Linked DNA regions of Macaca mulatta. The protein of the gene in region 3 interacts with the protein of the main gene of each other region in a pairwise test. Links are inferred from orthologs where the notes say so. Each region holds a gene or a part of one and is shown on either strand. Other genes may lie near its edges. The genes, in order: keratin, type I cuticular Ha8; USHBP1; TXLNB.

Region 1 (3,748 bases), on a different chromosome or scaffold from region 3:
CTTTGGATTGTTCCACATTAGGTTTTTCTCAGTCTCAGGGGTCTATGTATCTACTGTCACAAATTTTGGAAGAAAACTTTTGGGATCTCAGCAGTCATGTGTCTTGGATCCCTAGTACCAAGAACTATCTAAATGTGGAATGTGTAATATAACCATTTTAGAGACAGGGGTTTCCCCTGGCATCTTCTGATTTGGCCCTTGGAGAAACTCTGTTTTATTGTATCAATACCTCCACATCTGAGGTATTTTCTGAGATACAAAGGGAAAAATACACAACGTCAGATTTTTGTTTTACATCTTCACTTCAACTTCTTGCCTGGTTTCTAGGCCTTTGAATCCTTCTTAGTTCTAGCAATGACACAGTAGTTATCCTTGGGGGTGGGAGATTTGGTGGTAGTCAAGGTGAAGAAATAGCTTCTGCAGTTGAAAGAAGCTGATGTTGAGAATAGGCTTTATACTTCATAGTGGGGTTGATCTTAGAAAAATGACTTCACATCTCTTGTCCTCAATGGCTTATTTATTTATTTTATAAAATTAAGAGTACCCACCTCCCAGGTTGGAAGTAAAGATTAAAAGGTATCACTGCTCAATCCCCTAGCTCATAGGGTGAAGGCTCATGACTGATTTTAGAATCAAGGAAGCAAAGTATGAAGAGAGCCCACAGAGGCTCTGATCACTCAATGTTCTTTGGCTTTCATGAGTTCTTTTCTCAAAGTTCTTATTTGAGGTTCAGTAAGATTATTGCTCATTTCTTTTTGTTTTTTTCTGGCTTCTTGAGCTTGCCTTCTTGGTCGAGATAAGCCATGGTTTTTGGAGTCATCCTCATTTTCATAAGCTTCTCAGATACCTTGTTTGAAACATCACATCTATCCAAGTTACAGTTGTTCCCCAATGACAGGAACTGTTCTGTGCTTAACCAACTATATGTCAAGTGTCAGCAAGGTGCCTGACAAATGGGACATAGCTAGGGGATGTGTGTTGAGTGAATGGATTCATCTAAGTCTTGTTGCTCCTCAAAGTGAGTCTGAAAGGCAACCAACTAAAGAAAGAAGAAATGTAGGACTTCTTGATAACCCAAGGCCGTAACATCCACCAATACCAAGACTTAGTTTCTTCCTTGGATAGGGAAGGCTGGTTGAGTCTTAACCCAAGTGAGAACCATTGCCATTACAAGGGTTAGTCCTCCTGCTACACCACTGACCAACAGGAAAGTTTGTGTCTCCAGAGTGGAGACATCCATAAAGAGGCCAAACCCAGTCAAGGTCTAAGCATCTGATGGCTAAAATAACTTTGCTTCTTTGAAAAATAATAAAAACCTTCTGACCTCCCACCAGCAGCCAACCTGATTTCAAAGAGCCAAGAGGCATCTCAGATTCGTCAACATTCCTTTAATGAGCTGAGAAACTTTTCATGGTAAACTCAGCAGCTGAGTAACAGGATGATGGCACCACAACAGGTAGATAATCAAGGCAGGAGGTCAAAGCATTGGAGCCAACACCCACCCAGGACGGGGTATAAAAGGGCTGGGAGGAGAGGAGACCTCAGTCTCAGTGGCTCGGCGTTCCCAGCTGATCTGAAGCTCCTGTGCAGTCTCAGCCCTACACCATGACCTCCTCCTACAGCAGCTCCTCATGCCCTCTGGTTTGCACCATGGCTCCTGGAGCAAGAAATGTCTCTGTCTCTCCCATCGACGTTGGGTGCCAGCCCGGGGCAGAGGCCAACGTTGCCCCCATGTGCCTTTTGGCCAACGTGGCACATGCCAACCGAGTCCGCGTGGGGTCGACTCCCCTGGGCCGCCCCAGCCTCTGCCTGCCCCCAACCTGCCACAATGCTTGTCCCTTGCCAGGGACCTGTCACATTCCTGGCAACATTGGAATCTGTGGGGCCTATGGTGAAAACACCCTGAATGGCCATGAGAAGGAGACCATGCAGTTCCTGAACGACCGCCTGGCCAACTACCTGGAGAAGGTGCGCCAGCTGGAGCGGGAGAACGCGGAGCTGGAGGCCACACTCCTCGAGAGGAGCAAGTGCCACGAGTCCACTGTGTGCCCGGACTACCAGTCCTACTTCCGCACCATCGAGGAGCTCCAGCAGAAGGTGAGGTGTGGGATCACTTGGGCGTGCTGGGTCTGAGAAGGCAGAAGCCTTCGCAGGAGGAATCCACATAAGGTCCAGAGAGCTTTGGGTTCTTGGTTTCTCTTGGACATGAGCGTAGACACCACACGTGGAGTGGGAGCTTAGAGTATGATGCTTTGTGTGTGAACCGTCTTTCCGTTTTCCTCAGATCCTGTGCAGCAAGGCCGAGAATGCCAGGCTGATTGTACAAATTGACAATGCTAAGCTGGCTGCCGATGACTTTAGGATCAAGTAAGTCAGGTGGAGGAGGGCCAGGGTGACTCCCTCCCCACCCTCCATCCCAGTGCCCAAATACTTGTTGAGTGAGTGAATGTTTGTCCTGTCTTCCTTGCTAGATTCTCCACAGTAAAATTTTCATTACAATCAAAGCTGATGAAAGATGGAAGGGAAAACTCCTCATTAATCCAAGCATATATGTTTGTCCTCCTTCATTTATTTCCCTAAAATGGAGGATAAGGGAGCCTGAGTTCATTCACCAGGAGCAAAATGAGGGGATTTCAAGGATGAACTGAGCAAGACAGCCATTGGGTTTCATATATAAGTCAGAGAAGTCGTTTACAGATGAGTCTTTGTTCAGATTTAATTATGGAGCCCTAAGGTACCAGGCATAAGGTACCTAGGCAAAAATGAGAGAGGGGAAGACAGCTGAAAAGTAAGGCATAAGGAGCCGCAGATCACGATCAGGCACCTGGCTATTGCTTATCTTTGGTAACTGACAGTCCCCGCAATGGCACGAGTGTTGGTCCCAAGATGCATGATCTTAGGCAAGTCAGTTCATCTTCCTGAACTGCAGTTGCCACAGAATACAATGGCAAAAATGTATATTGTGCAATGTAGTGTTGTGATTGCTTCATTAGACCATGAGCTCTTTGAGAAGGGGGGCTGTGTCTAATTCACCTTCGAGGCCAGAGGGCTAAACAGTGAACAAATGAGGATCCAAGGTGGTGTGGGAGGTAGGAAGGCAGGGCAGCCGAGAGGGGCTCTTGGGGCATTCTTGTTGACCCTGTACCTCCCGTGATGGAAGGCTGGAGAGTGAGCGCTCCCTACGCCAGCTGGTAGAGGCGGACCAGTGTGGGACGCAGAAGCTCCTGGATGACGCGACCCTGGCCAAGGCTGACCTGGAGGCCCAGCAGGAGTCCCTGAAGGAGGAGCAGCTGTCCCTCAAGAGCAACCATGAGCAGGTGTGGCCCTGGCTGCTCAGACTCCCGGGGAGGGTGCTGGGCAGACAGGGGAGCTCCCTGGCCCCGGGGCTCTCAGAGCATTGTCTGGGCTCAGCTGGTATCAGGATGCAGGACTGAGGGGGGTCTGAGGGTCCAGAGGGCCTCTGTGGAAAGTGCAGACTTGCCTTGGGCACGAGGAAGGTGTCCAGGTGGGCTCTCCCCACTGCACTCTCAGCAAGACTTTCCCATTTGCTTGTGTGTGGGACTCCCCTCCCACTGCTTGCAGGGTCAGGGTCCTGGTGCTGTCTGCTCCATCAAAGGTCCTCTCTTCACACAGGCTGTCTGTCCCTTCCTCCTTTCTGCAGGAAGTAAAGATTCTGAGGAGTCAACTGGGGGAGAAGCTCCGGATTGAGCTGGACATTGAGCCCACCATTGACCTGAACAGGGTGCTG
Region 2 (3,748 bases), on a different chromosome or scaffold from region 3:
CACTCCAGCCTGGGCGACAGAGCGAGAAGAGAACTGTCAGCCCACAGTGAAGAGACAGGCAGAGAAGAAGAGTTCACAGGGGAGCCAAATAAAAGCCATATCAGGCCGGGCGCGGTGGCTCAAGCCTGTAATCCCAGCACTTTGGGAGGCCGAGGCGGGTGGATCACGAGGTCAGGAGATGGAGACTATCCTGGCTACCATGGTGAAACCCCGTCTCTACTAAAAATACAAAAAACTAGCCGGGCGTGGTGGCGGGCGCCTGTAGTCTCAGCTACTTGGGAGGCTGAGGCGGGAGAATGGCGTGAACCCGGGAGGCGGAGCTTGCAGTGAGCCGAGATCACGCCACTGCACTCCAGCTTGGGAGACACAGCGAGACTCCGTCTCAAAAAAAAAAAAAAAAAAAAAAAAAGCCATATCGGCTCAGGGGAACATTCTAGCTCTTTTTTTTTTTTCTTTCTTTTTGAGACAGGGTGTTGCCTTGTTACCCAGACTGGAGTGCAGTGGCGTGACCATGGCTCACTGCAGCCTCAACTTCCAGGTGTTAAGCAATCCTCCCACCTCAGCCTCCCGAGTAGCTGGGACTACAGGCATATGCCACCACTCCTGGCTAATTTTTATATTTTATGTAGAGACGGGGGTCTTGCCATGTTGCCCAGGCTTGTCTTAAACTCTTGGGCTCAAGCGATCTGCCTTCCTCAGCTTCCCAGAGTCCTGGGATTACAGGCATGAGCCATGGTGCTCGGCCCATTCTAGATCTTGAGAAATAAAATCCAAGAGTCAGAGCTAGAAGGGCCATAGGCTTGGAGGCTGAGACGAGGAGGGGCTGAAACCTTGGTAGTCAGGTATGTGTGCCCCGCTAGGGCTGCAGGAAGCTGCTGTCCTCAAAAAGGAAACAACACAATAACAAGTCACATGACCAGGGGAGGGGGTTTCCTGTTTCCTGGTCCCTCCCAGGCCAGGCTTGGCCAGCCCAGGCCTGACCAGGCAGTGGCCAGAGTGACCCCAAGACGGTGTCCAGGGACTCAGGCCTCTGATCAAGTTACCCCCAGAAGATCAGAGAGGTAGAGAGCTGAACCCGTCATTTAGGAGGGCCGCGGAGGAGAGGGAATTATTGAGATTGCATTTCCAGGCTCAAAGAGAGGAGGGAAGGGGACAAAGACGTAGTGAAGGTAAAGAAGGCAGAGAAGAAGGGGGAGATCCAGACAACCTTGTTAGGTAGTGAGCTGCCTGTCCAGGGAGGCATTCAAATGTGCCCAATCAACATTGATCACAAAATCCCTTCCTGAGGGGTAGTCAATGTCCCATTTCACAGCAGAGGAAATTGAGGTTGTCCCTTGTCCAGGACAACAAAGGCAAGAGGTCATGGCAGGCTGTGGTTTTAGGGGTTGACGAAGGAGAAGCATTCAGAGAGCACTGGCTTCTGGACAGCAATGAGTGCCCGGGCCACGCGGCCCCGAAGCCGGCGAGGGAGGCATGCTCCACCCGTAAGTGTCGCCCTCTCCCCTCCACACCCAGCTCCTGGGGACCCCAAGGTCCCGTCCTGCCTGGCTCAGAGCGGGGCCACGGGGGTCATTTGCAGGGTGAACTGGACCCCGTGGCTGAGAGTTCAGAGGAGATTGAGGCAGCCAGTGGGAGCTCCAAGCTCAGCTTTGCCCCACCTCCTGTGAGCTCCGGGCTGGAACAGCTGGGCCCCATGGAGGAGGTCAGTGGCCAAGGCCTAGGAAGCAGGTAAGACCCCCTTGGTCTGTGCCCTTCACTCCAGTCCAGATGCATCTTTGCCATCTGCAGATCTGCTGATGTGCCCTCTCTGCTCACACACCTACCATAGCTCCCTGTTGCCTTCAGCCTGACTTCTTTTTTTTTGAGTCTTGCTCTGTCACCCGGGCTGCAGTGCAGTGGCACAATCTCCACTCACAGCAACCTCTGCCTCCTGGGTTCAAGAGGGAGCCTCAGCTTCCCGAGTAGCTGGGATTACAGGTGTGTGCCACCACACCCAGCTAATTTTTGTATTTTTAGTGAGACAGGGTCTTGCCACGTTAGCCAGGCTGGTCTTGAACTCCTGACCTCAGGTGATCCCCCCACTTCGGCCTCCGAAAGTGCTGGGATTACAAGTGTGAGTCGCTGCCCCAGAAGACCCCATTTCCAGAATCTTCTGTCTCTCACCTTCAGGACTTTCCCAGTGCCCGTCACAGTCCAACTTACTATTCACTCTGCTTCGTAGCCCCAGGTCTCCCCTCCAACTTCTCCACCACCTCTGTCCAGCCTCTTCCCTGAATTCCCAGCCTCCCAGTCTCTCCCCGGGATGCAAGTCCCAGAACACGCAGCTCTTGCCAACTCTGCCCCGCTCACACCTCCCGAAGACCATGAAGTTTAAGCCCTAAGAATTCCCTGCCCTGGGCTGAGCGTTGTGGCCCATGCCTGTTATCGCAGAACTTTGGGAGGCCAAGTCGGGCGAATCACCTGAGGTCAGGAATTTGACATCAGCCTGGCCAACATGGTGAAACCCTGTCTCTACTAAAAATACAAAAATTAGCCGGGTGTGGTGGTGGGCACCTGTAATCCCAGCTACTTGGGGGACTGAGGCAGGAGAATCACTTGAACCCAGGAGGTGGAGGTTGCAGTGAGCTGAGATCGCACCACTGCACTCCAGCCTGGGCAACAGAGTGAGATTCTGTCTCAAAAAATAAAAAAGAATTCCCTGCCCAGCATGAAGCGACTCAAGTGCCTGAGTTGGTGTCCACAGGACCGACAAGAAGACGGATGGGGGCTCTGGCAGGGGACTGGCCTCAGCCCCCGAGGTGCCCCACAAACCTGCAGTGGAAGCCTACCAGGCCCCAGAAGCAGCCCTACAGTACAAGGAGACTGTGCCCCCTGGGATTGGGGCCCCCGATGTGTTTCAGACCCTCCAGCACGCTCTGAGCTCCCTGGAGGCAGCGGCTGCAGCCTGGCGCCACCGGCCCCCCAGCCATCCTGGGCCAATGGAGTTGGAAGACACAAGCAAAGGGGGACCAGGTCCCCTTGGGAAGCAGGAAGGGGCAGGGAGCAGCCAGCGAGAGGCAGCTCGCCTGGCTGAGAGGAATGCCTGGCTCCGGCTGGCCCTGAGTAGCCGAGAGGATGAGCTGGTCCGCACGCAGGCCTCCCTGGAGGCCATCCGAGCTGAGAAGGAGACGCTGCAGAAAGAGGTGAGTGGGGCCATCCTGTGTCCTATGTGGCTCTCTGTCTGAGGGAGGAGGCAGGCCCGATGTAGGCAATATTCATTCATCTGTTCATTCCAAAAACCTTTTGAGGCTGGGTGTGGTGGCTCACGCCTATAATCCCAGCACTTTGGGAGATGGAGGCACGAGGATCCTTTGAGGCCAGGAGTTCAAGACCAGCCTGGGCAACACAGCAAGACCCCTACCTCTGCAAAAAATAAAAAATAAAAATCAGCCAGGTTGGCCAGGCACGGTGGCTCACACCTGTAATCCCAGCACTTTGGGAGGCTGAGGTGGGCGTATCACAAAGTCAGGAGTTCAAGACCAGCTTGGCCAACATGGTGAAACCCCATCTCTACTAAAAATAAAAATAAATAAATAAATAAAAGCCAGGTGTGGTGGCATATGCCTGTAATTCCAGCTACTCAGGAGGCTGAGGCAGGAGAATCACTTGAACCCAGGTGATGGAGGTGGCAGTGAGCTGAGATCACATCAATGTACTCCAGTCTGGGGAACAGAGTGAGACTCTGTCTAAAAAAAAAAAAAAAAAAAAA
Region 3 (3,748 bases):
CATGACTGTGTGTATTTAAAATGTTTAAATCTAAAATGGCATTAGTTTTCTTTCAAAGTTAAAATATTTAATAGAAGAGCCATCGAATTTATTTAAATGACTCATAACAATAACATCTCTAAGTTCTATTTGATCCATAAATCAGTATTTTGCTTAGTATGAATATTTTGATGTAAATGCATTATTACACTCGATACAGGAGACATTTCTCACTTTTCCGGCATTTTCTTTTTCAGATAAGCAACATGAATGCTTTTTCTGAGGCTCAAACTGGCATCATTTTTCAATTAAGACAGGGAATGAGGAAAGGTATAAATAAATAAACCAAGTAGTATAGAAACACAGGCCGGGTGCGGTGGCTCATATGTGTTATCCCAGCACTTTAGGAGGCCGAGGCGGGTGAATCACTTGAGGCCAAGAGACCAGCCTGGCCAACATGGTGAAACCCCGTCTCTACTAAAAATACAAAAATTAGCCGGATATGGTGGCCGGCACCCGTAGTCCCAGCTACTTGGGAGGCTGAGGTATCAGAATTGCTTGAACCGGGAGGCGGAGGTTGTAGTGAGCCAAGATTGCGCCACTAAACTCCAGCCTGAGCGACAGAGCAAGACTTTGTCTCAAAAACAAAACAAAAGCATGATGCTGCTTATAACAACAATTCCTTAAGTTTCTATAATACTCTTTTATTCCAATATATAAACCAACATTTTAAAAGAGAAAAACAGATTACAACTTTCTCTTCTAAGTCAGGAAGCTCTAGAAAAACAATAATTTTTAAGAAGTAGCAATGTTTCATAAACGAGGAGGAGACCAACTCGAGAAATAATTCAGCAATAATAAGGGCCCTTGGGAAAGGGTGAGAGATGGAACTGAGTCAGAGATTCCAGTGTTTCTGACTATTACCACTTCTAGGGTTGCAATAGATTTGGTTTAGGCCTTTAAGTTATGGTGCATTTTATTTTTAAATAATATTTAACAGTGATGCTGCTAAATAGCAGCATAAAAATAAGGCAAGATCCTCATAATTCGCAGGTTTTGCTGTTGTGGTAACGTGAAAGTGAAAACAAAAGCATACTGTTCTACAACTGCATAGCTTCCTTTTCCTGTTCTTAGGGCAGCAGGTGTCAATCAAATGCTCGGACACCAACAAGAACAGAAAATTCAACACAGACATTGCCACTGATGTGATGCTCACTAAACACTCATAACTTAGAGGAAGTACTTTTTTTCTTTCACTGTATTGAATTCACCAACTTAATTATCAAATAATGTAGCAAACAATTTCATTATCTTCATCACTGGGATTTCTTTATCCTGACCTCTACTTGTTGATTGCACTCATCTATATATAACTTAGGCCTCCCCTAAACACGGAGAAAGACACACGGCACCTGCTGTCCAGCCAAAAGTTATTTTAAGCTATTCTAAAATGAGTCATGCCATTTAGCACTTCATCCTTAAAAATCAAGAAAATCATTTTTCAATCAAATTGAAAACAGTAAACATTTGCTGGCTTAAATCCATACGTAGGTTTTAAAGTTGGGGAGACTATCTTAGGATGAAATAAAATCTCAAGTAAAATGAATTTCAAAATAATTAATTTAAAATAAGCTGTCCATAGGAGTTTTACTTTGGTTAGTCTAAATGCAAGTGGCTGTTTGTATTCAATTTGTTCTTTATCAGATGCCACAATCATTGATTTTTTTAAATTATTAATTCCATGGCTATTCTTTAAACTCCTGTTCCACATTTACTTTAAAACAGAACAGTCATTATAAAGCCTAGGACAACTCAATTCCTAAAAGTAGTCTCAAGACAAGTTAACAAGAGGGAAAAAAACAAAGTCAAAGAACTTCGTTACTTTTCAATCATCCATTGTATATTATGTGGCAAAGAAATTATTTCAAACTTTTATCTTATATAAACTTTATTGCCTTATTTTCCCCTCCCCAGGGAGAGAACTTTTCACTTGTGTTGGCTATTCCAGATGACTATCACAGACACATCCCTCCCTAAGCAACATATTTATTTATAAATACAACAATGAAAAGTTCTCCAACAGTTCACTGGCAATCTCAAAGTTGCAAGTTTCAAACACCACAAACCGCACCCTACATCTTCTCACGGGGCTTGGGGGAGGGTTTATCATACTTACCAGAAGGCAAGAAGCTAAGCAAGAAGAGAGAGGAGAGGAAAGAGGCAGGAAAAAGCAAGTCAGAGCTGCAGCAACAGCAGGGGAGGGCGGGCTGGCTGTGTTCTTACAAGGGAGAGAGAAACCCAATACACACACACACACACATATACACGCGCGCGCACACACACACACACACACGCCACAGGCACTGCTGGAGGCAGCAGTCTGGGGGAGGTGGGGGTAGGGAAAGGAACATCGTATGACACAGTGAGGGGAAAATACATCCAAGCTTCCCTAGCTGTTGCCACGGGAAATATCTTAGCAGAGAGAAGCAGCTGGAAGATCTCATCGGACTCTCCATGTTTTGTTTGTCCTTTCGGAAATTTAAACTCTGACTATATCATCCCCTTTGCAAATGCAGTCTTTCACCATTGTTACCCTTTTGGGTAGAGATCAGTTTTTCTTACTTCTTGGTTTATCTCCAGTGTGGTGGATGATTCATCTTCTTTTTCTTCTTCTACTTCTGCTAGCTTAATTGGTGTCAGGTTTGTTATAGGAATCACGGAAAAAGAAAAACAATGGCATAAGAACAGGGAGGTGGTGGAACTATTTTAATTCTGATGTCATTGGTTTGTTTGCAGAGTTTGAAATAAACATGTAGATGGTGATTTTGGAGCTGAACTGAGTATAATCTTCATGCACATGGTAATTGGTGTGACCTTGGAGCACAGTCTTTCCCAGGTAACTGTTCCCACCTCAGACAAACCCTCAGGGAAGCAGTCAGCTTTTTCTTCCTTAGTTGGTGGCTTTCCCACACTTTGTAAATCCTCAACATGCTCCTGGATCCTCCTCAGAAAAATAAACTCCTTCTGATTCACCATCAAATGCCTCTCTATTAATTTACGTCCATTCCCTTTTTATTTTTCTTTCTGGAGCTTGTGTTCCTATACTTTCAAAGCAGATTCCTCCATCAGTCTCTGCTCTGGGGACAGGCTGCGCATAGTGGCATCCCTTGTGGTAGGCAGAATGATGCCACCCAAAACATCTCCACGTCCTACTCCTTGGAACCTGTGAATATGTTACTTTACATGACAAGAGACTTTGCAGATGTGATTAAGAATCCTGAGGTAGGGAGATTATCTTGAACTATCTGGGTGGGCTAAACGTGATCATAAGGGTATTTATTTATTTATTTTTTGAGATGGAGTCTCGCTCTGCCACTCAGGCTGGAGTGCAGTGGTGCAATCTCAGCTCACTGCAACCTCCACCTCCTGGGTTCAAGTGATTCTCCTGCCTCAGCCTCCTGAGTAGCTGGGATTACAGGTGCCCGCCACCACACCCAGCTAATTTTTTGTATTTTTAGTAGAGATGGGGGTTTCGCTGTGTTTGGCTAGGCTGGTCTCAAACTCCTGACCTCATGATCCGCCCGCCTCGGCCTCCCAAAGTGCTGGGATTACGAGCGTGAGCCATTGCGCTCAGTCTCATAAGGGTCTTTATAAATGAGGGAGGAAGGCAGTAGGATTGGAGGCAGAAAAGGAGATTTGATGACCTCAGCATAGGTCAGGAAGCTTCTAGAAGCTGGGAAAGGCAAGGAAGCAGATTCTACTCTAGAGC

The links.
Region 1: the proteins of TXLNB (region 3) and keratin, type I cuticular Ha8 interact in binary tests that used the Homo sapiens proteins (3 or more experiments, as listed by UniProt). The link is inferred for Macaca mulatta from reciprocal best matches to the Homo sapiens genes TXLNB and KRT38.
Region 2: the proteins of TXLNB (region 3) and USHBP1 interact in binary tests that used the Homo sapiens proteins (3 or more experiments, as listed by UniProt). The two-hybrid records come from large-scale screens. The link is inferred for Macaca mulatta from reciprocal best matches to the Homo sapiens genes TXLNB and USHBP1.

What each region holds. Positions count from the first base shown.
Region 1 is NC_133421.1:65,782,655-65,786,402, reverse strand, and holds the start of keratin, type I cuticular Ha8, read left to right. Parts: upstream 1-1,543; 5' UTR 1,544-1,605; coding exon 1,606-2,097; intron 2,098-2,284; coding exon 2,285-2,367; intron 2,368-3,160; coding exon 3,161-3,317; intron 3,318-3,661; coding exon 3,662-3,748.
Region 2 is NC_133424.1:17,748,640-17,752,387, reverse strand, and holds the start of USHBP1 (harmonin-binding protein USHBP1), read left to right. Parts: upstream 1-986; 5' UTR 987-1,169; intron 1,170-1,382; 5' UTR 1,383-1,430; coding exon 1,431-1,484; intron 1,485-1,579; coding exon 1,580-1,728; exon of another isoform or gene 1,729-1,961; intron 1,962-2,024; exon of another isoform or gene 2,025-2,743; coding exon 2,744-3,182; intron 3,183-3,748.
Region 3 is NC_133409.1:44,399,467-44,403,214, forward strand, and holds the start of TXLNB (beta-taxilin), read right to left. Parts: upstream 2,354-3,748; 5' UTR 2,156-2,353; intron 1-2,155. UniProt on the Homo sapiens protein: Promotes motor nerve regeneration. May be involved in intracellular vesicle traffic.